Linked DNA regions of Rhinolophus ferrumequinum. The protein of the gene in region 3 purifies or fractionates together with the protein of the main gene of each other region. This does not show direct contact. Links are inferred from orthologs where the notes say so. Each region holds a gene or a part of one and is shown on either strand. Other genes may lie near its edges.

The links.
Region 1: the proteins of COPS6 (region 3) and DCAF8 purify together in Homo sapiens (affinity purification with mass spectrometry; 3 studies listed by BioGRID and IntAct, with this or other methods). This does not show direct contact. The link is inferred for Rhinolophus ferrumequinum from reciprocal best matches to the Homo sapiens genes COPS6 and DCAF8.
Region 2: the proteins of COPS6 (region 3) and KLHL42 purify together in Homo sapiens (affinity purification with mass spectrometry; 3 studies listed by BioGRID and IntAct, with this or other methods). This does not show direct contact. The link is inferred for Rhinolophus ferrumequinum from reciprocal best matches to the Homo sapiens genes COPS6 and KLHL42.
Region 4: the proteins of COPS6 (region 3) and KLHL15 purify together in Homo sapiens (affinity purification with mass spectrometry; 3 studies listed by BioGRID and IntAct, with this or other methods). This does not show direct contact. The link is inferred for Rhinolophus ferrumequinum from reciprocal best matches to the Homo sapiens genes COPS6 and KLHL15.

What each region holds. Positions count from the first base shown.
Region 1 is NC_046305.1:28,277,966-28,285,093, reverse strand, and holds the start of DCAF8 (DDB1- and CUL4-associated factor 8), read right to left. Parts: upstream 3,002-7,128; 5' UTR 2,863-3,001; exon of another isoform or gene 2,648-2,862; intron 2,265-2,647; exon of another isoform or gene 2,061-2,264; intron 1,794-2,060; 5' UTR 1,721-1,793; intron 281-1,720; 5' UTR 196-280; intron 1-195. UniProt on the Homo sapiens protein: May function as a substrate receptor for CUL4-DDB1 E3 ubiquitin-protein ligase complex.
Region 2 is NC_046293.1:38,444,436-38,451,731, reverse strand, and holds the start of KLHL42 (kelch-like protein 42), read right to left. Parts: upstream 3,024-7,296; 5' UTR 2,891-3,023; coding exon 2,019-2,890; intron 1-2,018. UniProt on the Homo sapiens protein: Substrate-specific adapter of a BCR (BTB-CUL3-RBX1) E3 ubiquitin-protein ligase complex required for mitotic progression and cytokinesis. The BCR(KLHL42) E3 ubiquitin ligase complex mediates the ubiquitination and subsequent degradation of KATNA1.
Region 3 is NC_046290.1:90,376,577-90,383,741, forward strand, and holds COPS6 (COP9 signalosome complex subunit 6), read left to right. Parts: upstream 1-4,146; 5' UTR 4,147-4,194; coding exon 4,195-4,261; intron 4,262-4,483; coding exon 4,484-4,609; intron 4,610-4,824; coding exon 4,825-4,956; intron 4,957-5,277; coding exon 5,278-5,366; intron 5,367-5,465; coding exon 5,466-5,528; intron 5,529-5,821; coding exon 5,822-5,869; intron 5,870-5,945; coding exon 5,946-6,060; intron 6,061-6,151; coding exon 6,152-6,244; intron 6,245-6,341; coding exon 6,342-6,442; intron 6,443-6,560; coding exon 6,561-6,701; 3' UTR 6,702-6,815; downstream 6,816-7,165. UniProt on the Homo sapiens protein: Component of the COP9 signalosome complex (CSN), a complex involved in various cellular and developmental processes.
Region 4 is NC_046284.1:107,904,526-107,911,844, reverse strand, and holds the start of KLHL15 (kelch-like protein 15), read right to left. Parts: upstream 3,023-7,319; 5' UTR 2,981-3,022; intron 2,668-2,980; exon of another isoform or gene 2,490-2,667; intron 2,417-2,489; 5' UTR 2,218-2,416; intron 1-2,217. UniProt on the Homo sapiens protein: Substrate-specific adapter for CUL3 E3 ubiquitin-protein ligase complex.

The DNA.
Region 1 (7,128 bases), on a different chromosome or scaffold from region 3:
TAAAAGGAAAAAAACATTAAGGAGTAGCTGGAGCAGAAGTGGTGAACACTGAAGTAGGAAGGGAAGAAATTACAGGCATATCTTATTTATTACGCCTCCCTTTATTGCGCTTCACAGATGGGTGTGTTTTTTACAAATTGAAAGCAAGACCCTCCATCAGCAAAAAGGTTACAACTCACTTTATCACAATAGTACCTTTATTGCAGTGGTCTGGAAATGAATCCACAATATCTCTGAGGTATGCCTGTACAATAATTGTGTCAACTCTGATGAGGTGTTGCTAATAGAGAAACCAAGAGGAAGGAAGCAATGAACAAAGGAAAGTTATTGATGTTTATTTTAAGAATCCATTTTGAGATACACATACTCCAACATCTAATATTCCCACTGTCCTCTGGTCATGAGCTGACCTGTATCATGTTCAGAAGACAACCCTAGGTGTCCACCTACAAAGCAAACATCTAAGCTGACCAATTAAAAATGAATCTGAAAAAATAACCAGGAAAACATGTTCAAAAGCAAAATGCAAATAAGTGTAAACTAATGTATAACTTATTCAAAGCCATATTAATGATGTGTAAAGAAAATAGAAAAAAAAAATTTAGGGTCTATCATGTGGTAGGCATAATTTATAGCTTTATATAGGTGTCCTCATACAATACCAACAATTACCCTAGGAAGTAAGTGGTACTTATCCCACTTTTAGAGAAAATTAAGAGAGAAGTGTAAGTAACTTGTCCAAGGCCACATGGCTCATAAATCTTAGCACAGTATTTAAACCCAGACCTATCCAGCTCTAAAGACTATACTTTTCCCTTTATATCTTACTGATACTTATACATACTGCCAATAATAACCTTATTCCAGTTCATAATGAGCATTTTCTAATCGGGACACCATGTGAAATAAAGCTCACCAGTGTCACACTCAACCTTTACCTACTACAAATCATAAAGATATTAAAAATCACCCAGGCCTCCCTCCCAGAGCCATTCAGCTCTTCAGTCACATCCATAGCGCTGAACCCCAACCACAGCACTACTCTCTGCTACCAGAAATCCAAGAGTCTTACAAAAATTACATTTACAAGTATGCTCTGACTCCCTCTTTGGCACTAGCCCATGCTGCTGAATTCACAGGATGATTCCTCTGCTGACCAAGAATTCTTCAGACCAGCTATAAAAAAACAGCCACTTTTTTTTTCACCCCCAATTTACCACTACGTCCTGAAAAGTTGGAATTCTGAAGTGGACTGAACTCAGACACCAAATAAAGGCAGCATCACTCGTCACTCCCCAGCTTTTAGGGACAAGCAGCGAAATATTCTCTAAATAGCAAGGAATGACAACCCAAAGCCCTCAGAGAAGAGACCTGATTTGGCAAAAGTCTGAACAGAATTCAGGCAAACCAATTCCCAACTTTTAACAATGTAAGAAACATTATCCACACAAAGACAAAACACAACACAAATGAAGGAGACATATTCACTTCTAGGCTTAACTGGATATACAGCAATAGTTTAAAACAGAAAATCAAGACGCCCACAGCCAATTAAACTTGTAAAAGTAATTTAACCAGAGCTGGAACACAGCCAAATACAATACCCCAACTCTTTTGGAAATTGTGGTAAGAATTTTGTGACTTTAGTGGTCAGCACTTGAGCACCAGGCTAGGGTCTGTCTTGGACTCAGGAATTTAAATGCCCTCAGCTCCTACTCACCTTTCTTCCTTTATCACTGTAGTGGTGCCCGGCTGAGCGCCTGAGAAAATAGGTCTGTAGATTCACCGAAGGACTGAGAAAAATTAAAGTTTAAATGACAAAGGTGTCTCTTCTACTAACCATAATAAAAAGATATTTATGAATACATTTTAGTATTTTTAGACCTCCTCAGAACTATTTAAAACCAGAGTAATTTATCCCATTGTAAGTACCGAGTGAATAACCTACAAACCGTTAACAGAAATAAAATGAACCATGCAAGTAATCTCCCAACTCCACTAACACGTCAAGTCATTTCAAAGGAAAACCTGAATCTTTTCAACCCTAACCCATAACCAACCTCTCAACAAGCCACAGAGCGGGGATTGGCAGTGGGGGTTGGAGATCCTGGAGAGAATGTGATAGCGCTAGTGCTGGTTTGTTTACAGACTCCAGCAACAATCATGAGTCAGAAATTCAAGCCACTAGATGCTTTCCAACTAACAGGGACCAAATAGGACCGTCCTACGGTGTCCTGAAACATCTGGGGGTAAGGGGAGATAAACTAAGCGATTTATATTACAAAGGGTACAAAACCAGCCAGCAACAACTGACTCTGGGGTTCTTGGACCTCGGGCCTTCCGTACAAGGTGCTGGGCCCCAGATGGGGGAGGGGACACATTGCGCCGTGGCCCTGAGGTGACGGGGAGACTCAGAGTGAGCCGCATCCCCCAATCTAAGGGGGAGAAAAAAGCGCACACAAGTGGGTCACCCTACGAGGCAAGACGTCCCAGTGGATTGTGGGGCAGGTTCTTGGGGGCAATCCCAGGGCTGACCAAAAGAAAGGGCAGCCAATCCTCTAGACGCAGACTGAGGTCAGGAAAAGGAGAAGACCTGAACCCTGGGAGCTTGGGAAAGAAGTCAAACCTATCCTGTGGGGGAACGGACCAGGGGAAGAGAGGAACAGGCCAAGCCGGAACGAGACACGGACCGGGTAGGTCAAGGGGAAGGGGTGTCCGGCTAGGGCAGTTACAAGCACGGGAGCCGGAGAGACTCAGCTGCCCGCTTCCCGTCTCGGGTCATCCTCCTGCTAGCAGCTGCTCCGACTGTTCCAGGCCCAGCCGCCCTGTCCACTGCCGCCACCAACGCCGCCGCCATCTTACACTGGCCAGCGGCCGCCACCGCCACCGCCACCGCCTCCGCTGTCTGCGCTTGCGCCTGCGCTGCCACGCTTTCCGGCCCTGTTTGCGACGAAGTGCTGGGGAAGACGGAGGCAAGAGTGGTCGCGCGAGCTCACCGCTTCCAACCCTCCTCCAAGGACGCGTAAGGGGCGGGGCTTAAGGCCAACGGAAAACAGGGCGAGGGGCGCCTGCGCGTTACCGAGGAGGCAAAGTTACATTTGTAGGGTATGCTTTGAAGGGCTCACGTCCCTTGTGGTATTCAAAACAAATGTGAGTTAGGAGCCTCCCAGAGTTGTAGTGGTAATAAAATTCATTTCTAACGAGCTGGCAGGCAACCTCTTGGGTGACCTCCATTTCTACCGTTTTTGAATACTGGGAATAAGCAGTTCTCGCCAGATTTCTTCTGAAAACTCCCATTTCCTATAAGGACGATTTTCTTAAGTGGTTTCTATACCTTCGAAGCCCATTTCCCCCTGACAGCCTCCATTTACTCACTTTTAAATAAGGGATTCAGAAGCTTGAAGTGCAGCTAAGCTATTCAAGAGGATCTTTCCCCGAGGGGAGGTGGTGTGTTGGTTCCCAAGAATGGCCCTAATGGTGTACACTGCTTGCTTCTGACACCTAAAGAAAGCATACAGAGGATTCCTAACAAGGTTACTACTCCCAGTTGCGAAACTAGGAGATTTTTGACCAGAAGTCCAGGGTGCAAGAATCTAACCCCTTCTTACCTCCTCTACTGCTAGCTACCCTCCTATTATCCTATTATAGGTCATATGTTACCCTAGACTGTAGCAATAGGCATCTAGCTGGCTTGTCTTTTTCCATTATCGTCCTGCTAGTTAAACATAAGGCAGCCAGAGTGCCCTTTTAAACTGTTAGGTCATATTATTGTCCTGCTCAAAACGTCCAAAAGCTTCCCATGGCACAATAAAAATCAAAATGATCATAATGGCCTTCAAGGCAGGCCCTACATGATCTGGTACCTATTTCTCTAATTTCATATCCCACACTGCTTAGCTCTGCTCTAGCCTTACTGGCCTTCTCACTGTCACTCCAACCAAAACATGTTCCAACCTTAGGGCTTTTGCACTTGTTTCCTCTTCTTGGAGTGTTCATCTACCAGATCTTTTTTTCCGCTGATAATAGGAAATGCAAATATTTTCAATATGCTATCCTTGTGTCCAGCAACCTTGCTAAGCTCACTTATTCTGTAGATTCGTTTGAGTTTCTATATGTACAATCATAGTACACTAGTTAAGAACACTGGCTTTATTTATTTTATAGTCCAAAACAACTTTTTTTGCCCACCTTCCTCCCATTTGGCAACCATCAGCTTCTCTCTAGGTATGGGTCTGTTTCTGCTTTTTTTATTCATTTGGTTTTTCTTACATTCCACATATTAAGTGAAATCATATGGTATTTGTCTTTCTTTGACTTATTTCACTTAGCATAATACTTTCTAGGTCCATGTTATCAAAAATGGCAAGATTTCTCTTTTTAATTACTGAGTCATCATATATATACCACATCTTCTTTACCAATTCGTCTATTGAATTGGTTACCTCCATATTTGAAGTAATGCTGCAATGAACATAGGGGTGCATATATCTTTTCGAATTAGCTTTTTTGTTTTCTTCGGATAAATACCCAGAAGTGGAATTGCTGGGTCATGTGGCAGCTCCATTTTTAATTTTTTTCAATATGCATACTGTTTTCCATATTGACTGCACCAATTTACAATCCTATAACAGGTCTTTACTAGATTTGCACTCTCCACTTAGTCCGATCTCTATTCAAATGCTACTTCCTCAGAGAGGCAGCTCTTGACTATTCCAACTAAAATGATACCTTACACCACCATCCTCCTTTATCTTCTTACTCTGCATTATTTTTTTCATAACATTTTTTAGCAGTAACATTTAACCTACAATTATGTATTTTTTAATCTAACTATACTATTAGATATAAGCACTATGAGAGTAGGGTCTTTCTTTATCTTTGTAACCCCAACACATAAGAGTGCCAAAGCACAAAATAGCTACCTAATGCCCTACCATTTCTATTCATTCATTCATTCCATCAACAACTATTGATTCTATCAACAAGTACTACATCTGAGGTCCTGTTCTAGGTGCTGGAACTGCAGGAGTGAATAAAACAAACCAAGTTTCCTGCATTCACAGAACTTGTATTAGTGCAGGAGTTGGGAGTGTAGGGGGATAAGAGGGACAAAATTATTAAGACAAAATTATTGAGTACTATAAACGAAAAGAAAGCAGGCTATGCTCTTTTACGTAGTGGGTTCAGGGAAGGCCCCTCTGCTGATGACATTTGAATAGAGATCTGGAATGAGCCATACACACTGGGGAAATAACCTTCCAGGCAGAGGGACCAGCAAGGTATAAAAGCCTGAACCGTGAGTGTGTTTGGTGTATTCAAAGAACAGCAAGGAAGGCAAAAGAGCATGTAGGAAATTAGTTTGGAGAAACAAGATGGGAGCCAGATGACTTACAGACTCATAGACCAAGGAGAAGACTTTGGATTTTACCCAAAGAGTGCTAGGCAGCCATGGAAGGTTTTGCATAAAAGAATGATATGATCTGATTTTTATCAATGAAGAAATTTACTTTGGTTGATTCTTTGAGAACTGCCTGCAGGGAGGCAAAATAGAAGCTGAAAGACTAGTTAGGAAGCCATGTTGCAGTGGAAGTGGTTGGATTCAGTATGTAATTTAAAGGTGGCAGAAGTGATTTGCTAATAGATTTGAATAGAGGCTGAAAGGTAAAAGGATTCTTTCCTATTGCATTTGAGGTTGTAATGATCATTACCCTTTTTAGATATTCAATCCCACTGATTCCTAAGACACTGTATTCCATAGTTCTATTTATATCTCTTACCACTTATTTCATGAGCTTCTCTTCCCCTTCATTTCACATGCTCTTCCAAAGTGATCTTATCCATTCTCAGATTAAACTACCACATAATGATGATTCCCAAGTTTTTATTTCCAACCCAGGCTTCTCCTTCATGCTTTAGACTCACATACTTGACAGCTAGTGGCACTTTTTAAAGAAAAGCTTTATTGAGATGACATTCACACACTGTACAATTCACCCATTTAAAGTGTACACTGGCTTTTACTACATTCACAGATATGTGCAACCATCATCAATTTTCAACCACTATCATCACCTCAGAAAGAAACAGTACCCTTCAGTTATCTCCCCATCTTTCCACCCTCGCCAGCCCTAAGAAACCATTAATCTATTTTGTCTCTGTAGAGTTCCCTATTCTGGACTTTTGTATGAGTGGAATCATATAGTACATGGTTTTTTGTAACTGGTTTCTTTCACTTAATGTTTTCAAGGTTTATCCATGTTGTAGCATGTTATCAGTACTTCATTCCATTTTATAACCAAATATTCCATTATATGGCTGTACCACATTTTGTCTATTTGTTTATGAACACTTGGGTTGTTTCCACTGTTTGGCTATTATGAATAACGCTGCTATGAACATTCATGTGCAAGTTTCTGCGTGGACATGTTTCATTTCATTTCTCTTGAGTATATATATATATATATATATATATATATATATATATATACACCTGGGAGTGGAATTTCTGGGCCATATGATTAACTCTATATTTAATCATTCGAGGAACTGACAGTTTTTCAAAGTAGTTATATTTTATTCACACCAGCAATGTATGAGGCTTCCAGTTCTCATCCTTGCTAATACTTGATATCTGACTTTTTGATTCTGGACATCCTAGTGTGTCTGAAGTGGTATCTCATTATGGTTTTGATTTGACTTCCCTGATGACTAATGCTGTCAACCATCTTTTCATGTTTATTTAACATTTGTGTATTCTTGGAGAAATGTCTATCAGACATTGTACATTCATTTATGTTGGGTTGTCTTTTTGAGTTGTAAGAATTCTTTATATATTCTAGATACAAGTAACTTATCAAATACATGATTTGCAAACATTTTCTCCCATCTGTAATTTGTCTTTTCACCTTTTTGATGGTGTCTTTTAAAAATTCTGATGAGGTCTAATTTATGTTTTTTCTTTTGTTGCTCATGCTTTTGGTGTCACATTTAAGAATACTCAGCCAAATCCAAGGTGTTACCCCTGGGTCTTCTTGTAAGATCTTTATTGTTTTATTACTTTTAGGTCTTTGGTCTATTTTGAATTAATTTTTGTATATGGCACAAGGGTTAAACTCATTCTGCATGTGG
Region 2 (7,296 bases), on a different chromosome or scaffold from region 3:
TCCACTATAGCAATGTTTGTAATGGCAAATGGAAGCAATCTAACTGCTCATAAATAAGGGAAGCGCTAATTACATTACGTACTTCCATAGGCTGGAATACTACACAGCCATTAATAAGAGTGAAGTGAATCGACATTTGTTGATATAGAAAAAACTGTCAGATACAGTATACTGTTAAGTAGAAATATCAAGTGCCGTAATAATCAGCTAACCTAATCAATTTGAGTAAATATATGTATAAGTATGCACCCCCACATGTACATGCATACATATATACATTTTCCGTTAAACACTATCAATATACTTATATTTATATGACTATACATTTAGTTTATAAATATAAATATGTATTTATAAATTTATAATATATAAGTATGTCTATAGATAGACATATTTTTTAGTCTATAGTTTTTCGTGTCATTTGCAATTTTTCTAAGCATATATTCCTGCATCATTCGAATACTTTTTTTTTGCCCAAAGAAAAAAGGGGCAAAAAAAAGACTACCAACGATTTGTGAAGAAAAAACAAGAATTTATGAGGTGTTGTGTTAGAGCTATGGAGCTGGAGGTTGCACCAATTGATACAATTAGAGACACGTGTAGAAGTGACAGACAACCAGAGGGGCCTTCCACCCCTAATCTGAGCACCACTGAGTGTTCCTGTGTTGCTTCAATTAAAGCTCCTAGAATTTCTTTTAAAACAACACTTCTAATAACAAATTTTAAATATGGTATCATCTCAACAGTGTAAATAATGCACTAAAAAGGGGTTGGAAGAAAATATGCCAACTTGTAGATGGTTATTCCCTCTCAGAAGGAGGCAGTAGCAGTGATAGCCTTTGTGTTTCTTTATTCTTTTCCATTTTTCCATTTTTCTAGAATATCTATATACTATTTTTAATCATCAGAAAAAAGGAATGCTTTCCAAAATAAATGTTATATTATAGTAGAAATAAAGCCAGTATTCCCCCTGGTCTGGGGGCACCCTAGAGTCAAGTAAATATATGTAATGGCCTCCCCATTCCTATTAAGAATTTCTTTGACAGGCGGTGAGTCCCTCGACTCCTTGCTCCACACTTCAGGGCAAGACACATAGTGGGACTGGAGATGGATACAGGTGGATCAGAAGAAAGGGTATTCTTGTTCTTTCTTGAGTTACACTGATTCTTCTCCCCACTTCTGAATGGCTCTGGGCCATCTTGTGCCCGACCATCTTTGTTTCATACCACCCCTTCCTGTATTTGCTCTTTGCTCTTATTTTCCTATTCCTTTCCTGATTCCTTTATCTAACTCTCCCCCAATCTCCTCCTTTTCTCATCTTTTTTTCATGTCACCCAAGTTCATGTCTGGAGGGATTTGCAAGATGGGAAAGGAGAAGGTTGGGATGGATGGAAATATTCTAACAGTGTAGGTGACCAGTTCCAGGCTGAAACTTTGGGTCAATAACAATGCCTAGGAAGGAAGTGAGATGAGAAAGAGAGGATAAAAAATAAGAAAGGCAATCCTACACAGCTAATGTTAATACAATTCTAATCTAATGATTATCTCCTGATCATAGATTGGTGCCCTAGTGTGGAAGACTTCAAAGTCATTAACAACAACAAAAATCCCCCAAGGTCAGTGTTACAGGTTGCTGTCAATGTGTCATCATTATCAGATCCTAAAAAATAAAAAAAAAATAAAAAATAAAAGCAAAATTAAAAAACAATTTTATTTTTAAGTATCCTTCTGGAAAACCACAATGTTTTTTTCCACTGGGACAGGGGCAAAGAAAGCAGTTTGCCTAAAGACACAATACCTGCAAGGAAACTACTCAGCTAGTTGACTTCACTGGGGCCTCTTCATCCTTGAAAGTTCTTATTCATTGGGAACTTTGCCAGAGTCAAGGCCAGCCACACTCCTGAAGATGTCATTCCCACCTCAGCACAACCTCCTGTGACTGCTCAGTAAACATTAAGGGAATGAACTAATGAACAAGTGAATGAATGAGAAAGCAGCAGCGCTCGCTGGGTGCTTACCTCTTCTGGTTCATGGAGGCCACCTGGAGCCACTCGTTGGTGCTGGGATTGTAGGAATGTGCAGCGGAGATCTCCTGGCTAGTGATCCTGTACCCGCCCACTATGAAGAGGTAGTTGTCCAGGATGGCAGACCCGTAACCCCTGACATTAACCAGGTCAGGAGGAAGGTTGTTGGCCAGCGGGAACCAACGTTCAGTCATCTCCTCGTACCTGAGCATGGAGGGGGGCTCCCCCTGGTAGGGGTGAGGAGCCAAAGGCCCCCCCAAAAAATCCCCCAGGGCCACGAGGACAGGAGTCCCAGTCATCCGGCCCTCTCTCAGCCTCTGCTTCAGGCTGACATCCCCTGAGGCCTGAGCAGGAGACCCCAGGAGGTGGAACTGAGGCTTGCACAGCACCTCGTGGAAGTGGATGACCATGAAGCGCAGGCAGGCCTCCTGCAGGTCGGGCAGCCCGTACACCTGCGCCAGGCGGTATAACTCCAGGCAGTTGGTCAGCCGCACCTGGGACAGCAGCAGCTGCAGCAGGGACGTCACTTGCAGGAAGGAGGCCGCTTCCACCAGCTCGGACAGCAGGCTCACCTCGTCCATCTCCTCGTCCTCCGCCGCCCCCCCACCCTTCTCTCCCCGCGGGCCCAGGAGCCAGCCTTCGCGGGCTCCGCCGGCGTTGATGAAGTCCAGCACCAGGCGCAGGCCCGGGGCGCTGAGGCCGCGCAGCTGCTGCACTTCGGGGCCGCCGGCCTCCTGGCTCAGGGCCTCGCGCATGCCGGAGCGGTAGAGGGCGCGGAAGTAGTCGCTCTGCTCGATGAGCTTCCTCTTGCTCACCGGGTAGCAGCGGTCCTCCAGGCGGATCTGCACCATCTCCTCCGCCGACATGGCTGGGGGACCAGGGGCCGCGGGGCTGCCCGCCAGTTCTGCGCGATCGCTTCCCCGCCCCCGCGCTTGCCGGGTTCCGAGTTGGGCGCGCCGGGGGATGGCGCCCGGAGGAGGAGGCCGGCGAAGGGCCGCCCGCTCCCTGCCGCGCTCGCCCAGCCTGTGTGGGTCGCGGCAGCGCCCCGCGAAGCAGTCCCTTCTCTTGGTCCCGGGTGCGGCAGCTCAGCCTCGCTCCCCCAGCGCGGCGGCCCTGCCTTTCTGGTCCGGTTCAGAGCCAAAAAAGGGCCGGCTGGCGCGCGCCGGGAGTGGGCAGGCGGCCGCCGTCCCTGCGCGGGTTGTCCAAGGCCGCGTCAGGCGGGAGGGGATCCCAGCCCCCAGCCTGCAGCCTCCTCCCACGGCGCGCTTCGCACTTCCGCCCGCAGGACCCCTGCCGCCCGCCAGACCTGCGGACGGGATCCGGCTTTCGGGAAGGGCTGGAAGGCTGCGGGCCTCTGGTGCCCCGGCGGGGACCGCGCGGGAGGCGGGAAGGTGCGGCCCCGCAGCCTCCCCCGCACGCCGGGCGCAACGCCTCTGCAGCCTGCCCGGGTCTGCAGCGATGCTCGCGAGGGACAGGAGACGAGAGGAAGCCAGTCTGCTTTTTCTTCCACGCTGCTTTACAAGAGAGGAAGAAAAAGGCAAAAGGAACGGGAGTGGGGGAAAGGGATGAAGGCAGTCTGGGGTCCAGGGAGTCAAAAAGACATCACATCTGGGATCGCCCATCTGGCCCAGTCCCTCTTCGTGTCCCAAGGGGTTAAGGCTCACTGGCCGTCTCTGGACATGTAGGTGGCACTTAGAGCTTAGTCTTCGGCATGGTCATTGTGTAGGAGCCATCTTGCAGAAAGAAAGTCCAGCCGGACGGCAGCAGGTTCTGCAGGACTCAGCGCAAGGGGTGCACGGGGGAAAGCGGTTTGGAAGCAGAGAAGCCTGTGTTTGCTGCTGGGGCCTGTTATCCTTTTTATGCGATTAAAAGAAAGCACAAGTCGACTAAATAAAGTTAGATCGTGGGCCTTCTTTTAAAATATTTCCTAACCTATGGAAACGTCATTGCTTTCCCTATTTCAACGTGGTTGGGCGAGCCATTACGGAATGTTAGCTTTGGACATAAGGTCAGACCCCTTCTGCTCATTTTTGCCTATGGAGGTGGCTTTTCTTGCAACCCTCTTACCCTTCCTTTCTCTAACCCCGCCTCCCTCAGTCTGAGGACTACTTAAGGAGAGCTTCTTCTCCATCTTCTGTCACCAAACATTGCAAAAAGAGAGCTCACCCCAAATAATACAAAGGATCTTGTGTTGCTCATGAGCTATGAATTAATCCTGAGGGGCAGGGGGTATTATTAGGGTACCTTTGAGTAGAAGGAGGGATAGGATTGGGAGAGAGCAGAGGGTGTGTTTACTCTTACCGTATAAAAAACCCTTGAAAACTTTCCCAGACCAAGATGTGAGAACCAACTATAAATGTCTTCAACTTGGAGATAATATGAGTTTAGACTTTATTTTTCTTATTACAACCTTCAGCTTTCTTCTTGAATGACAAGTTGTTAAATAATACCTTCATCATAAATACATTTCCCTTATTTAAAACGGAAGAGACCTTCTCCAATAGTGATTAAAATTTTATGTTACCAAAGGGCAAAGGTTAAAAACCAAAGAAGAACGTCGTATCTGTAAAACAAGATATCTTTTCAACACATTGTTTGGTTACATTTGTGCTTCTTTCTGTGTAACTTAGCTGCTTCATAGTGAGGTGATGTCATCCAGTTTTTTCTTTACACCATGAATATAAAACTAGAACTTGAAAGACATGGGGAAAATTCTACTAGATTCTAGCCTCCCTGGGAAAATGAAAGAAATAAAGATGAATCTATGACTTGCCTCTTTCAGTGTGCTTAGACTCTGAAAAGCTTCTAGTTTTTCACCTCGACCTCGTTTCACCTGGCCTTTAAATCATTACTGATAAAACCCCATTCTCACATGGACCTCTCACACTTGTTCTCAATGAGGGTACAGTTTGAGACATTCTAAGCTTCTCTGGGTGAGTGACCATGAACTTAGCAACCTCTTTGGGAAGGTAAAGTGACATGTCCAGTATTAGGCATTTAGCTGGGGAACTTGTGCTGGAAGGGGCCCCCTGTATCAGAGATTTGGACCATCAGTGACAATGCGAGATTCAGTGGGTCAGCCCAGAAAAACAGTCTCTTTAGAATCTTTCACCAATGGATGCTTGTTTCCCAACCATATCTATGAGGCAATCATAGATATGCCTCAGACTGGTATTTTGCCTTTTAAAAACAGACCCCCCCCAAAAAAAAAAAATCACACTCAAAGAATGATGTGCATTAGAAAGGCAATTCACACACAATAATATTACCAGATCAGCTTGGACACAGAATCTGGGATGTTAGTTTGACAATACTAGGCACTGATCCTGTAAGTTATTTGTCCCCAACATGATAACGACATTTAGGATTGGAAGCATCTTAAAACATCAAATTATTTTAATAACATACAGAAATCTTTCTGTTAAGCTAGAAATGCAGTCAGAGCAATATAAACTCCTTTATTTACAAAACGAACTAAAATATTATTTTCAAGCTTCATGAAAATATTGCTTATATGTAACTGGAGGCATAATTTTATAGATCTCTTATTGACTGATCATTAAATCATAAAGACTGAACTTTGTGGTAATTATGATTCACTTTAAGCACTTTACATCATGATCTGTTTTACAGAAAACTGAAATAACGGTCACAGAGTTAGGCTATTTCTTTAAGAATTTATGAAAAATACACATTTTGACCTAGAATGGAAAAAATTCTAAGTACACGATGTTTATCACAATGTTGCTTTTAATAATAATAAACTGGAAAACAGAATATATAATAATAACAGTTAACATTTAATGTTCATTATATGCCAGGCACTGTTGTACTTTACATGTACTATAATAGTATTTTTATACAGTTTTATAGCTGAGGAAGCTGAGGTACAGAGTAAATTTTGGTACATGTATAGAATGAAATACTGCAGAGTTACAATTTTTTGATGTAGAGAAAACTTTCTTTAGAGATTACAACTTTTGATGTAGAGAAAACTTTAGAGACACTGAAAAATATAATTTTATACTGTATTTTTAAAAAACAGGTTCTGAAATAGTATGAATCCATTTGTCATGTATCTGTTTTTGTAGAGGATGTTTACCAAAATGTTAAGATTGTAAGATCTTGAATAGTTTTTACTTCTTTTTGTACTTTACTATATGGTTTGGATTTTTTTAAATAAATGTATATAAATGTATTAAAAGCAAAAGATTTTAGGAAAATTAAAGACATATTTAAATTTCTCAGGCCCCATTTCTTTAAAACAATTTCTATCAATTTTATCAACTGATGAAAACATTAAGTAAATAATACAACTCTCATTTTTAAAATAACGATGAAATATTATTTTTCAAACATCTTGTGAATTTAGTCAACCTATGTGATTACTTCACATCTACTTAAAAATTATCTTTATTTCTTAGTCCCTCTAATATTCCTAAAATAACTTGTTGTTTTTTAACAAGCAATACCAAATTTTCCTTTCACTAAAGCATATGGGCCAATTTAAATGAGTTAAAAGTAGTACAGTTTTTAAAACAGCTCTATTTAATTCAGGTTGAATGTCTTCATGTAGGCAAAACTTCCATTTATTTCAGATGCTTATATCAATGTTTTCCAAACATCTTAGAAAATTACCTGGGGCACTTATAAAAATAAGAATTCTGCTTCCCAAACCAAAGCTACTGAAGCAAATGAGTGGTTTTTAAAGTAGAAATCTAATTTTTGAACCCCTCTGAAGAGTGCCCAATTGGAAATGAGTACAACATATCACTGCAATGCAATAGTACAGTGATTCTGGATATTTGATACAATTTGTACAAAAGGTACTTAGCAATGTCTTATTCAGAGTTGTAGTTGCGTTCTGGTTTCTGCAATTTCATCTCCATGGACAAGGTTTGAGATGCTTCTGGGCCACACATATCTCAGCCTGTTGTGTATTCCTCCCTCCGCCCCGTAGTCCAGTTTCTGTCTCTCCTTGTCAAAATACTTGGCTTCAAGAAGTTACTCATTTCCAGACTATGTTTAACAGTTTAAAAAAACAAAAATGTTTTTAAAGCTTTAAAGCATGCTTTTACATTGGAATTTGTAGATTCTTTAAAATGCAGCTTTGACCTTCACTTGAACATCATTTGATAGCAAAAGGAGTAAACAATTGTGGATTGTTCCATTAGTCCTGCAGGGAACATGAGAGCTTTGAGGAATTACATGTCACACAAAAGAAACTACATTTAATGTGACTGAAAGATGTGGAGGTTAGAAGGTTAGAAAG
Region 3 (7,165 bases):
TTCTCTTGGTGCCGGTGTCCCTGTTTCAGTCTGATCCCGTGACTCAGGCCTCATCACTATGGACCTTGAAACTAAACTGTGTCGTGTTTTAGGCTTTGCAGACCATCAACAGTCTGACATTGGTGTACCTTTTGTCAACAAAAGCCACCCAACAATGAATCAAGAGTCAAGGTGTTGGGTGAACATTCCACACTCCCTACCATGGGCAGCATCTCGTTGCCAAGCACTGGAATGGCCTCCTCCAAAATCAGCTCTACCTCCCTTCCCTCCTCTGGTCCACACGCCTTAGTGAGGCAGGCTGGTCACTGAATGTGGCCATCCCCCAAAAGCATTTGTCTCCTCTTGGTCAGTCATCCCTTGGGTAATGACGAAGATAAAAGGGCTGGGGAGCTCTCTAGACTTATTCTGAAAATTAAAGATTCTGCCCTACCTATTCCTTGGAATGACACTCCCTACCCGCCCTGCCGCCTCCCCTTATGGCTACCCCAAGCCAGCCTGGTTGGTAGACCCTCTGGCTACAGCCAAGCCACAAGGGAGCCTAGGGCATGCTAACTTAATTCTGGTCTAGTCACAGCATTTTCTTATTGTTTTGACATGGTTCGAGATCATTTGATTAAGGACACTGTTCTCCAGCTTTCTTATAGTGGCCCACACAGGCTGTGGCAGGCTGAACAAGATCCCCCAAAGATATCCAGGTATAATCCTTGGAACTTGTGAAGGTTACTTTATATGGCAAAGAGGATTTTACAGGTATGATTAAGTTAAGGATCTTCAGATGGGGAGATTATCCTGGATTATCCTAGTGGGCACTAAATGTAATCCCAAGTATAAGAGAGGGGTAGGGAGAGATTTTACTAAGAAGGCAATGTGGTGATGGGAACAGAGGGACAAAGATATATGAAGATGCTGCTGAAAACACTGGATTTGAAAATGAGGAAGAGGCCATGATCCAAGTAATGCAAGGAATGTAGTTCCAGAAGCTAGAAAAGATGACAGGAAACTAATATATAGGTCAAGGTGGAGGGTATAATGGTCTTTGCAAATTTTGTAAAAATGCCCTCTTTCACTCACACCTGACCCTTCTGGACAAAAGGTCTGTATGCAAATAGGGGATAATTGGAGAAAAAGCTACTAGGATGTGACACACCAATTTTGTGGCCATAGAAGAAGAGCAATAACCCAGCAACTGGAAAGGGAACACCTTAGACCCAGGAGGTGCAGGGAGGTGGGAGGAGGATCCCTTAACGTTCTCTTTGTCGTCTAGATCTAGCACCACCGCAGCCTAGCAAGCCCATCCCGTGGCTACCTGAGCTAGGCAGCAGCTCTGGCTGGATTTGCCAGCACTGAAACTCCTCCTTGTGAACACCTCTCCCCATTCCATCTGCATGCTGACACACAGACCAGCACAACCTTGTTTCAAACCCACTACTACAAATTCATGCGCTTCTCCTGAGGCCCAAGTGTCCTTGAGTCAGCAAATCCTATTAACTCTACTTTCCAAATGTATCCTGAATTCAATCAGGACTCACAGGTTTTGCCCTGTCCAGGGCAGCTGGGTGAAGGGGCAAGTGGGGACTGAAACCCAGCTTGAGCTTAGAAGGGACATCCTTTTCTTTTTTTGGAGAACTTTTAAGATTTCCTCTCTTAACAACTTTCAAATATGCAATACAGCACTACTAACTATAGCTGCTGTACTAGAGACTTTTTCCAATACACACCAGGGCATGTGGATAGCTACAGGCCTGAGTCATCTCCTACCTCTGCCTCTACTGCCCAGGTCCAAACCATGGTCATCTCTCACCTGGATTAGGACAATAGCTCCAGTTTTCCATGCTTCTATGTCCCCTACCATCCATCTAACCTCCATGCATCAGCCTGAGTGACCCTTTACAGCCTTGAGTCAAATCAAGTCATGTGTCTGTTCAGACTGAAAGCCAAAGCTCACGAGTCCTCACCTGGTCTGACCCTGTTACCTCTCTGATTTCATTTCATCTCAGTCCTTCAGTCCCCACTTGCCCCCTCACTCAGCTCCAGTCATTGGCTTTCTCATTATTCCTGGAACACATCATGCATTCTCTTGCCCAAAGACCTTCGCACTTGTTCCATTTGGAATACTCCTCCTCCAGCTCTCCTTACACCTTGCTCCCTGACTCCATTCTGGTCTTCCCTTCCATGTAAAACACCACCCCTCGAATCCCTTTTAATATCCTTATGTGTGCTTATTGTCTGTTTCTTACAACTCGAGTGTAAGCTTCATGAAATCAGAACTTGGTTGTGTTCAGTGCTGTAACCCCAGCACCTGGAATTGTGCCTGCTGCATAGTAGGCACTCCTAAATATTTTTTAAGTAAATGAATGAATGATGGATGGGTGGATGGATGGATGGATAATCACTGACCCCAAAGAGTAGAATTTCTTGATAACACCACAGATTCAAAGCAATCGGTGACTCAGTCTGTGTTCTTTCCTGGAGGGCCTTCCCTTCAGTCCTTGGTATCTTCTTTGCTGACTCTCTGAGCAGCTATTCCCCACCAGCCCAGTTACCTCCACTCTGTGGAAGGAAAAGTTAGCAAAACAACAAAATGATGCATTGTGTTTAATTTTGTTGGAAGGTAGAAAGAGAACTGTGGGATAAGTTGCCTTAACACAATTTCAACTTGAGTTTTTGTTAGTAGATTTTTAATACAATGCACTTTTAAGAAATGCTCAGTGAGCTTACTTCCAAAGCATGTATAATCAACTGATTCAATTTCAAAATCATCCTTGAATTTCACAATAACCACTGTTTTATGGGTTGTATAATTATCTGAGCAGTTTCAAAAGCATTTGAAACAACAAAAAGACAAAGAAGTACTTTAATGTGTGAAACAACAACACCAACTGTCAACTTTATTAACCCTAGAATAATTCTTGTCTTTATTTTAGCCTTCAATCTGAGAAACTCCTTAAACGTTGCCTATCATGTAAAAGAGATAGATTTTTCTGACCTCATTTTCCCTAAAATGGCACATATGCTTTTCTTCCATTACTGTCTCAGTTGGCTGGAATGTTTTTCACTGGAGATTAGAATGAGATAAACTCTTTCTCAACTTCCCCTTGGCCAGAAGACCCCTATCCCTGCAGGATTTCTCAGGCCTCTTCCTTTGAGTGTTGCTGGCCCTTCAACTTTCCTTTATCCAGGTTCCTAAGTGGAGAGGTTACTTAATTCATGTAAGTTATTATTATCACTAGAAAACATCTCCAGTACCTGCTAGTTCTGGGCACCAGAATAGGCTCGTGGGGTCCAGAAACAGGTCTCTACCTGCTTTCTAGAGCTTACATTTTGGGTGGGGTACAGACACATATTAAAAAGCCAACCAGACATGTTGGGGCAGCAGAAGGGGTAAAGGCGGTGTACACAATTTGCGTACATGGAAGAGTGGGGAGAGGGCTGGAGTGGTCTCTTTGCCAGAGGTGAGATTTACGGAGATGGAGAGCACAGGGAGCGTGGAAGGGGTTAGGAGATTCTGGGGATGCCCCTAATACTGTTGTTAATACCATTATTTGGGAGGAGGAAAGATAGGACTTGCAGAGAGCTACTCAAGACCAGGCTCCACCCCAAAGTATTCATCCATTTACTCAAAAATCATTTAGGTACCCGTGTCAGGTACCGTGTTGTCTTAGGGGTTATAATGATGAACATGACAAAAGGCCCTTGCGTTAGTGGGGCGTGTTAAAAGAACAGGTGTGAGAGCTAGCGTGGCTGAAACATGGGGACCAGGGGGCAGAAAAGGCCAGGGCCCATTGACAAGCAGGGGCCGAATCATACAGGGCCTTGCAGGCCGCGGTTAGCAGCTTGGATTTTATTCTGAGGGCAATAACATGACATTTCATTCATTCTGTAATAGACTTAGGGACTAGGCAATCTTAATCGAATTCTGCTGACGAAGACGGAAAGGTTGGGGTAGGGTTAAGTAATTTGTTTAAGGTCAGTCGCAGACGAGAGCCTGGGTCAGGGTCTAGGAAAATCTGTCGGCTTCAGGGCCATGCGGGCGTCGGACTTTTGCCGCCGGAGGGCTGCGGGCGGACACCAGGCAGGTAGGACAGCCGCTGTCTTGCGCCAGAGCAGGCGCGCGCCCCGGGGACGATGCGCATGCGCCGCCACGGACGGAAGCCGGGAAGGGGGGCGGGGCCGAGGCCGGCGGGCGCGGGGAAAATGGCGGCGGTGGCAGCTGCGGCGAACGGGACTGGGGGGAGCAGCGGGATGGAGGTGGATGCAGCAGGTAACGGGCCCCGCGGGGGCGGCTTCTGGAGACGGCCTTCGAGGTGCGTTAAGGCCGCCTTCCTGGATCTCAGGAGAGGTCAGGAGGGTGGACGGTAACATCGCTCCCTGGGATAACTTGCGGGAGGGATATATGGCCCGGCTCTGCCATCTCCCACTCCCGTCTCCTGGGAAGGGCGTGGGGCCCGGAGTCTCACTCTCTCTCCTTCTCCTCCACCTTTAGTAGTCCCCAGCGTGATGGCTTCCGGAGTGACTGGGAGTGTTTCAGTTGCTCTTCATCCCCTGGTCATTCTCAATATCTCAGATCATTGGATTCGCATGCGCTCCCAGGAGGGGCGGCCTATGCAGGGTGAGTGTTCAGCCTAATTCTGCAACCTCCTTTCGTTGGTCACCTCCACCAAACAGTGGTCTGTTCTCCTTCTTTTCCTGAAGATAATCCTTCCTCGGCCAAATCACCATTTCCCCTGTATTTAGTTCACATTGACTTCACACCCTCCAGCTGTAATGATTAGGTAAGTTTTGGGATTCTTGCCTCTCACCCCTGTGTGTCCTTCTCTTCCCCAGTGATTGGGGCTCTGATCGGGAAGCAGGAGGGCCGAAATATCGAGGTGATGAACTCCTTTGAGCTGCTGTCACACACCGTGGAAGAGAAGATTATCATTGACAAGGAATATTATTACACCAAGGAGGAGCAGTGTGAGAGGGGAATAGAAGTGGAAGAGAGGAGTGGGAGGAAAAAAAAAAGCAGAGTGGGGAAGATGGAGAGGGTTGGGGAAAAATAAACAGGACATGGGATGAGAACGGTGGGAAAGTGGAGTACCTGAAGAAATCTCAGAAAAAGAACACATTCGGGTATTCTGCCCCAAAAAAATGAAGGATGAGAGAAGAAAATAACCATTCTAAAATGAACCGGGATTTGAGGGGAAGGAGAGAAGCTGGTGAAAATACACCAGGAGCTTCAAATTAAGGAAGGATGGTTTAAAGAAATACTTTGTGCTCTGGCCCCTTCCTCTCCAGTTAAACAGGTATTCAAGGAGCTGGAGTTTCTGGGTTGGTATACCACTGGGGGGCCACCTGACCCCTCCGACATCCACGTCCATAAGCAGGTATACGTGCTCACACATGTGCATGCTGGGGTAAAGAATAGAGGATGAGGGAGAGAAGAAAGATGGGCAATACACTTATCCATCATCCCCCTCTTCCAGGTGTGTGAGATCATTGAGAGCCCCCTCTTTCTTAAGTTGAACCCCATGACCAAGCACACGGATGTGAGTAACACTGACCCAATGCCCATTTGGTCATACTTGTCTATCGCTATGCTTATCTTTTTTACTCATCCCCTGCTGTCTTTTACTGTGTGACATCTCTGTTGAATTGAATCTTCATTCTGCCATTTATCAGCTATGTCTTTGGATTAACCTGCATTTTTCTTATGTGTAAAACAGCGATAATCTGTCCTTCATTGGCCCTTCAATGTGAAACTGCCAATCCCAATTTTTGGCACATAGTATAGTTTCAGGTGGATTTGATGTAAGAGCTGTTCTCCATCTCTTCTTTACAGCTTCCTGTCAGCGTTTTTGAGTCTGTCATCGATATAATCAATGGAGAGGTAATGCCCTACCCTTCAACCCTCAGATCCTGCCCCTGATGTTTCCCGCTTTTGACTCTCCCTATGTGTCCTGTAGGCCACAATGCTGTTTGCTGAACTGACCTACACCCTGGCCACAGAGGAAGCTGAACGCATTGGTGTAGACCATGTCGCCCGAATGACAGCAACAGGCAGTGGAGAGAACTCCACGGGTAATGGAGGCTGGAGGGGCATACTTGGAAGTGGGGGTGGAAGGTGTAGCCACAAGCCTTTTCAACCGTGGCCTGTCCCTGCCCCCTGCAGTGGCTGAACACTTGATAGCACAGCACAGCGCCATCAAAATGCTGCACAGTCGCGTCAAGCTCATCTTGGAGTATGTCAAAGCCTCTGAAGCAGGTAGGACGGGGACTCCCTGGCACTCCTACCACTTTTCCACTCCCTCCTGGGGAAGTGACAACATCCACATTAATGCATCCTCTCTTTGTACCTTTAGGAGAGGTCCCCTTTAACCACGAGATCCTGCGGGAGGCCTATGCTTTATGTCACTGCCTCCCGGTACTCAGCACAGACAAGTTCAAGACAGACTTTTATGATGTGAGTGTTAAAACCCAGGAAGGTGGGTGGGGCTTATGCTATCATTTCTGCATGCAGGACATAGGACTCAGGTGTTCCCTGGCATGTGAGGGACCTGGATCTTTCTGTTCCCTCCCAGCAATGTAATGATGTGGGGCTCATGGCCTACCTTGGCACCATCACCAAAACGTGCAACACCATGAACCAGTTCGTGAACAAGTTCAACGTCCTCTATGACCGACAAGGCATCGGCAGGCGGATGCGGGGGCTCTTCTTCTGAGGGTACTTGAAGAGATGACGCACAGGGGTCAGAACTGTCCCAGAGGGGAGAGGTGTTCCACTCCCCTTAGAGAAACCTGTCATTAATAAAAGGGGAGTGCCCCCTCAGCACCCCTTCCAGTGGCTCTGTCCTCTGTTAGGCACCACATAGGTTTCTCACTTGGATGTTAGGCTCTCGGTTCCAGCCTTGCTCAGAGGCATGAGTCCCATTTTATCATCAGTTCTTCTCAACACCTTTCAGTGGTTGGGAGCTCACTGCCACTTGAAGTGACCCCAAGTCTGGTCAGGTAGACTGTCTATATTGAGCCAAAGGCTGCCTGCTTCCACCTAAGCAATGGGTTTTGCTCTTTAGTATCTCCCTGTAAACAAATGACCCCTTTCCCAAGCTTAGTTTTTCACACACAAAAAGAGATTGGGAGGGAGCGGGATATTAAGCACATTTCTATGAGGGACAACTGAGTCTTG
Region 4 (7,319 bases), on a different chromosome or scaffold from region 3:
CCCAAAACTAGGATTCTTAATAAGTGGAGTTGGCGTCTGCCTGACTTCAGAGCCTTCGCATTTAACCAACTATCCTACCAATGACTGTCTTTCATTTTTTGAAGAAAAATAAACCCCACACAAGGTACAACATTCCAATTCAGAGGAAATACGTGCTAATAAATTAATCCAACCCCTCATAAGCTACAGATTCATTCTCCTCACAGTTAACGTTATTCACTCTCAAAACATTTACGATGGGAAAGGGCAACCTTGACAATGGGACAACTACATAATTTTCAGGGCCCAGGGCAAAATGAAAATGCAGGGCCCCTTAAAATGAAAATGTGGGGTCCCTCATTCAAAAGCAGGAAAAAAGTATCATTAAAGGTACTAAAACATAAAGCTTTCTCCTTTCTTCTGAGGTCTCTCTTGACTTGTCGTGGTGTTTTTTTATTTGCTGTTTTATTCGTTCTAAGTAAAGAAAAATTAAAAATTTAAATTATTAGCATGAATTTTACCATTCACCTTTATATTGTACAATGCCAGTTTTATACGCAGATTATTAAACCAAGTTTGAAGCCCATTTGAACACCCACGAAGCCAAACTATCCCTGGTTCCAAGATTTTAGCCCCATATAACCAAGGCAGAGAGATCAAACCTTAAAATTTCCAATAAAGTAATGATTTAGCAAAATTCTGCCTTCAAGACAAGCGATAAATCCAATGCATAAAAGCTAGCTAGCCTGTTCAAGTAGGCTCTTCCTTTTGCTAATTTAATCCTGCCCGCCTTATATTATTCTGCCTTTCTAGAAAACACAAAAGCATACTCTGAAAGATAACTGGTATCGGATTATAAATTTAATAATAAAACATTTCAAAAAACCATTTGTTAGCTAAAAATAATATACTAAAAAAATGCTTCTTTTTCACTTTTTGTGGACCATTTTTAAAGTCAAACCATACATTTTTGATGTATCGAGTAAGAATCATCCTATACTGATGTTACACATATTATAAATTCTGACGTCCAATTTTCAAACCACAAATATTTACTATCCTACTATCCCTCCAAGTTAATCAGCAATAAAGAGTGCAAATTAACATCCTTTACACTGAAAAACTGGTTCTAAGCACCTAAATGTTGTGATGATTAAGAGAATTAAATTACATAAATATTATTACATTATCAAATAGTTGAAATTTTGCAAACATTTCTAGATCTATTAAGAATTATAGAAATCTGAATGCATTTCTAATCTCTTCAAAAACAATTTTCATATTAGTAGAGATATTCAGGCATCCTGTTCCCAAGATATGAAAAATAGGCATTAAAATTAGGATATATAACTTAAAAGCATTTTCTGAATTACAATTTAATCAGATTAACAAAAGAAAATATAAATTCGGTAAATATAAAAGTCTAAACAAAGGTAGGTGCTAAATAAATATTGCGAGTAAGAACAGGGACATAAGCGGCCTAGAAAAATGAAAAGCAAAGCACTACAGTAACGTTAAATTTGAATTAAAGAATACCGTTATTTAAATAAGCAGTTAGCATTTCGTAGGAAGAAGGCCAAGCAATGTGACTATTATATATCTATCTAGTCGATTCACAGCACTGCTTCGATATTCCGGACTTATTGCTTATACTCATAATATAGAAATAAAGAGGCAGCAACAGTTAGCCACTACAACATTAACCACTCGGGCAACGGTTACTTTAAAAATTGCCTTCCATTTTAACACTTTACAGCTATAGATTATTTTCATATATATGGCTTCATATAGTCCTCACTACCCTGTGATGTGGCTATTACTGACTAGATTTCATAGATAAGAAACCACGGCTCGGTAAGGGATTTTTCTCAAGAGTCCCCCGGTCGAACCCAGACATTCTGATTCCACGTTTTATGCCTCGTATTTCGCATAGTTTTATTTCAGGCATAAATAGAATTTTTAAAGGGAAGGAACGGGTTAGGGAGAAAATAATCATGGTACCTGCAGCTGTGTGCTGCAAAAAATGGCTGAATTATGCTTCTTCCTTTTTTTCCCCCCACCTTGAAAAAAATTAAATTTCAAACAATTTAAGTAAACTCAAAGACAAATTAGGTCCCAGCGCCTTCCTAATGTTTGACTCGGATCTGAGCAGAAAGGGCAACCGAATCGGTTCCGACCGCGGGCCCGCGGCCGAAGCCCGGGCTCCCGCAGGCCGGAGGGCCAGGGGCGGCTACGCACCTCGGGGGTCTGTCCAACCTCTAGTGGACGGCAGTCTGCATCAGGAAGAAGCGGGCCGGCGGCCGGGCGGTGGGCGGTCGGGCGCCGGGACGGCACTCGGCAGGCTTCTCGAACGTCTACAAGGAGCCGCTCCGAGGCCGGGCTGGGGCGCTCCGGCGGGGGGCGAGTCTGCGCGCCTGCGGTCCCCTCGAAACCAGTCCTGGGAAAGAAGACAGCGCTGAGTCGCGAGTCAAGACAGTCGGGCTCGGCGCGGCGTCGGGGCCGGGCCCAACCTTGCCAATGCCAGGGGTCTCGCAGCGGCCGGCGGGGTTCGGCTGGAGGGCCGACTCGGGGCCGCGGGCGGGGAAAGGGGCTGGGGGGCCGCGGGTAGCAGCAGAAAAGCCGGCAGTGGAGGCGTCGACGACTGCGTCTCCGGGCTTCTGCCCCGAAGCGCGCCGAGCCTCGGGATCACCCACGCCGGGGGTGGAGGAAGGCGGGAAAGGGGCGGGAAAGGGGCGGGGCGTGTGGGGCCACGAGCCAGGGGCCGCTCCGGGCCGCGCGCCCCCTGTGGGCCACGGGAGCCGCCCGGGGCCCGCCCAGGGAGGCGGGGCCCGCCGGCAGGGGGCTCTGTGCGCCGTCGTCTCAACGCGGAAGCTTGCCACGCGGGTAGGGAGGTCGAAGGGTAGGAAGCCATAAGCTGCAGATCAGGCTCTGGAGGCGCCCTCGGCCCCCGCGGGTGCCTCAAGGGGGCCCGCGTGCGGGCGGCGGCCCAGAGGGTGTTTACCTTCCCCCTGGTCGAACGCCAATGCCGCCATCTTTCAGCCAGCGCGCGTCATTTCCGGCGCCGCGGGAGCGGGAGCGGGTGTGGGAGCGGGGTGGGGGCAGGGCTGTCCCACGCCCGCGAGGCCCCACGTTCCGGCTGGCCACGCCAGCGGGCCCCAGGGAGGGCTCAGGCGGCCCCGGGCCCGGCGGGACGAGGCTTACCTCGCCGTCGGGGCTGGGAATGCTTGACTGCCAGTCCACGCGCAGACGTCCCTCTTCGTCTGCACGAGCGGTGGGCTCTAGCTACTGCGGTGCTCCCACCCCTCAACAAGTTTAGGGTTAGGAAGCCCGGAAAATGCCTTTTGCCGTTTTGCACTCGGTGGGGGTAGGGGGATCGGGGACGACATTGAGGGAGCTTTGCTGTATCTACCTGTGTTATAAAAGTGACTACATCTGCGCCAAATGACATCATTTTTGTCAGGCAACTTGCAGGGTATTATTGCGTCATAGTTCCACTTGGCTTATTGCACAACAATTACACGTTTCAGAAATACGTTTCCCAGAGCCGGGAAAATTCATAAAAACGGGCACGTATGCACTGCATATAGAAATGCTGGATCTAAAAACGCCGTTCTGTTTCTACTTGCGTCAAAATAAGATGGCAAGAACTAATACTCAGAGGGCAGTGATTTTTTTGGGGGGGGGGGTTATTCGTTTCTAACAAACCTGCTGCGGAATTCTAGCTAATGCTTTATAAATACCTTCTTGATTTAGAATATAAACCTACATTATAGGACTATTTTGTAAATTTATTGTTGTGAAATCTCTTTGTGGGAAAAGTGTAGGTGACAGAAATACACAGTTGGAGACCAGTGGTTCTACAACTGACCTTAAATTGAGTCCATTGCCCATTTCTGATCCTAAATTGAGGAATTTATCCGACCCACCCCTACCCCCACCCTCACCCCCGCCGCCATTTTCTTTCTAGACCAATATCCCGATGTATTTGCAGTTAGATGTGTGGCTAAAAGCGATCATTATCTCTTTCTAGCAAACTTGAACATGTCATGTTTCCCAAGAGGCCAAAACAGCACATGGTGTACTGTTTTGCTGAAGTAGACTGCTTCGTGGGAAAAAAGTAGAGAAACACCTTAATCTTCTGGAAATAGGAAAATAAGCGTCCCTTTTCCCATTTAAACTATAAAACAAGCTTTAAAAAAACTATTAGCCATAAAATAAACTTTAAAATGGCATGCATTCAACTTTGAATATTTGAGTTTTCATACATTATCCCTGAACGTCTAAAAGCGCTGATTTTATATTTTTGCACGTTGGCTGACACGTAACATTTTGAGCTATACATTTATCACATAGTGTGGAACTAACCTGTCTAGAGAGAGACGTCAAGTCAGTTCTTGATTCAGCAGGAACTGAAATGTCTGGGTTCTGTGTATCATAAATATATCTACAGTGATGTCGTGATCAGTACCCCCTGATGATCTTACATAGTCACAGATGTGACATTTCATTACCGTCCAAAATATGCTTTTTTTTATACTTGACTGTTTCTGAAACTGGGCTGTGTCTTTCCACCAGTCTATATATTTACTACTATGTAGAGCCTACCCTTGGGGGAAAAAAAGTTTAATCAGTGATGCCTCTTTCACTCTCATAAAAAAAAAAGTGTTTTATAGAAGGCTCTGGTATAGTAAGAAACATCCTGCTTCCTCAAGACCAGGCAAAGTAAAACCACATCATTTAAATAAACGAACTCCTCCAGATAATTCCTGTCCTCAATTATTTTTCCCACCAATTACTGGAATAATGGGAGTTCCTAAATACCTTGAGGACATGCTTTCACACTGGTAGAGCCCCATGGGGCAGATGGAAGCTGTCTTTTCTTAGCCCACTAGCTTAAGTATTTCAGAATACAGTCCTCAAATCCGCTATCTGGCAGTCCCAGATGTCCGGAGGCAGGCCAGAGGCTTGGGACTGGGAGTGGTAGTGGAGTTGGAAGGAAATTCCTATCCAGCAGGCTTATGATTTAGGATACTGTATACCCTCCCTCCTCTTTTTAAAACAAGGCTTTTCAGAAATCCAGAGTCTGTGGTAATTATCTTGGTAATCACTTTTCATGTAATTAGCCCCCACCCCAGTCTCGGGGAATTGAAGAGTTGTATCTTCAGCAAACTCTAATAAAGCTGCATATGCATTCTCTTTTCTTTGGAAAACTGTTTTGCTAAATGCTCTATAGCTCATTAGGGTTTTTAAGGCATCTTACGGGGTCCAATCCATCTCAGCCCCTCAGGGTCCACCGGTATCCCCCAAATCAGTACTAACTTCTGCAGATTCACACCAAGACCTGTACACTGACACATTCCAGTAGGACGGTGGCTGTTGTCCTAAGCATTATTTCCTGGCTCCTATCCCAGATGGCGCCTTCAAAATATAGTCTGAGGGTCCCCCAATTTTCCAGGCTTTCAAGTTTGTTTTAACAGCCAAATAGAATAACTTGAGCCTTTACGTTGCATGACTAATAGGAAATTGGTGTCTTCATGAATATTGGCGGATTCCTGGCTAATGCTCACACATCTTGGGCATCGCTGGTCACCTGTCACTTCGAATGGCTCCTCTTAGTTTCTCTCCTATTACTGCTGGCATTAGGGTCTGTCACCCCCTCTCCACATTTCTCCAGCTCTTTCTCTCTACACTTCCAACTTACAAACTTGAGCCTCCCTCCACCGCCCTCTTAGAAAAGCAAAAACCTAAAGCTATCACAAGGAAACTTCAATCTCTTTAAACAGGTCATGGCTTCTAGAGATTCCTACACAGGGATATCCTCCCTGATCATCTCTGAGTCGGATCTGTAGTCATTTGGTGGGAACCCTTTCCTGAGCATATCACTTGTTTCTCCCATCTCCTATCTTCCCCAATCTCATGAACCCCCAAACTTATCCTGTGGGCTCAACTAGAATCCCAAATCCCAAAACATCTGAAAGTGATGTGGATGCAAAAACAAACAAAAACCCCTCAAAGGGCATCCCCCGTGACACAAAGTGTGTCTAATGAATGTATTTACATTTGTGTTATTTCACTAACGTGGGGCGCTATCTCAAGGAAAACGAATTGATAATGTAACATGGTCAAGAGGACTCAACAATGTGATTTTTCCTGGAACCAAATGCTTCTTCCTATTCCACTTCCATCCTTAAAGCCCTGCTGGCAGTTCTTAGAATAACTGCTTTCTGCCTGGGGCCAGACAACAAGGGTTCAGAAACATTCAGGTTTGGTCTCAGAGGCCCCAACACATTGTGACAGGTTTAGACAACATGGGGTGCTATGTGAGCGAGCACAAAGCGGGGGGTGTAATCTGGGTTTGGGAGGGTCAAGCATGGCTTCTCAGAGGCAGCGATCTCTAAGTTCCGTCCAAACGGAATAAGGAAAGGAAAAAGTAAAAGAGTAAAGGATACCCATAGGGCAGTGCGTTCCAGGCCTGGGAGTGGCAGCAAGGCACCTTAATTTAGAGAACTGATAATTTAGGAGGCATACAGTGTAGGACACAAAAAGAGGAGAGGGAAAAGAAGCAAGAATCAGGAAGGCTGCCAAGTATAGCCGGTGGCAGTCAGGGCTTCTCCTCCCGTGTTGCCTCTCACCTCACGCTCTTTCCACTGTCAAACATCCACTATCAATCAAAGATGAAATTAATATCACCATTTCAATGGAACATGTGTTGAAACACAATGTAGACAATGCCCCCTTGTAATTAAAAATGTTAAAAAGAACAGATTTACCCCAAAGTTAATCATTTTTATGTTCTTTATGAACCAATGAAAAGCAACACTATACTTCAGAAGCCTGAAGATACAAGCCACACATTCATAAGTACTGCATTTCAGTAGATGTGCACGCAAACACACACATCCTAAGTGTGAGAGCCAGAGTTGAGGTGAGTGGGAGCAATGAAGAGCTACTATATGGTATTTGCATGATGAAGGAAGTGAAGAAAAAGCCTCCAGTAATTCCCACTGCCAGAAGCACAGCTTTAGGGTTTGGGGACTGTGGTTAAGGATAGAGACGGGATTGAATCTAGGCTCTAAAAGATATTTATTAGTTCTAAAACTAAGTTCTTAAAAAAACAGTGATCGCATCGCTCTCAGGACAAAATGTCTTTGTCCTGATACAGGGCGGAGAGGGACTTTAGGCAAGTCAGTTCTGGCTGCCTCAGCTTGGGGCTGAGTAGCTGAAGTGGAAGCAGGGGAAGCACACGTGAACAGCAAGGGCCCAGGCCTGGCTGCAAGGACAGCTTAGCTTCACCCTTTCCAGAGACCTGAGAGAAGAGCAGCACTGCCTTGGGGAGGGGC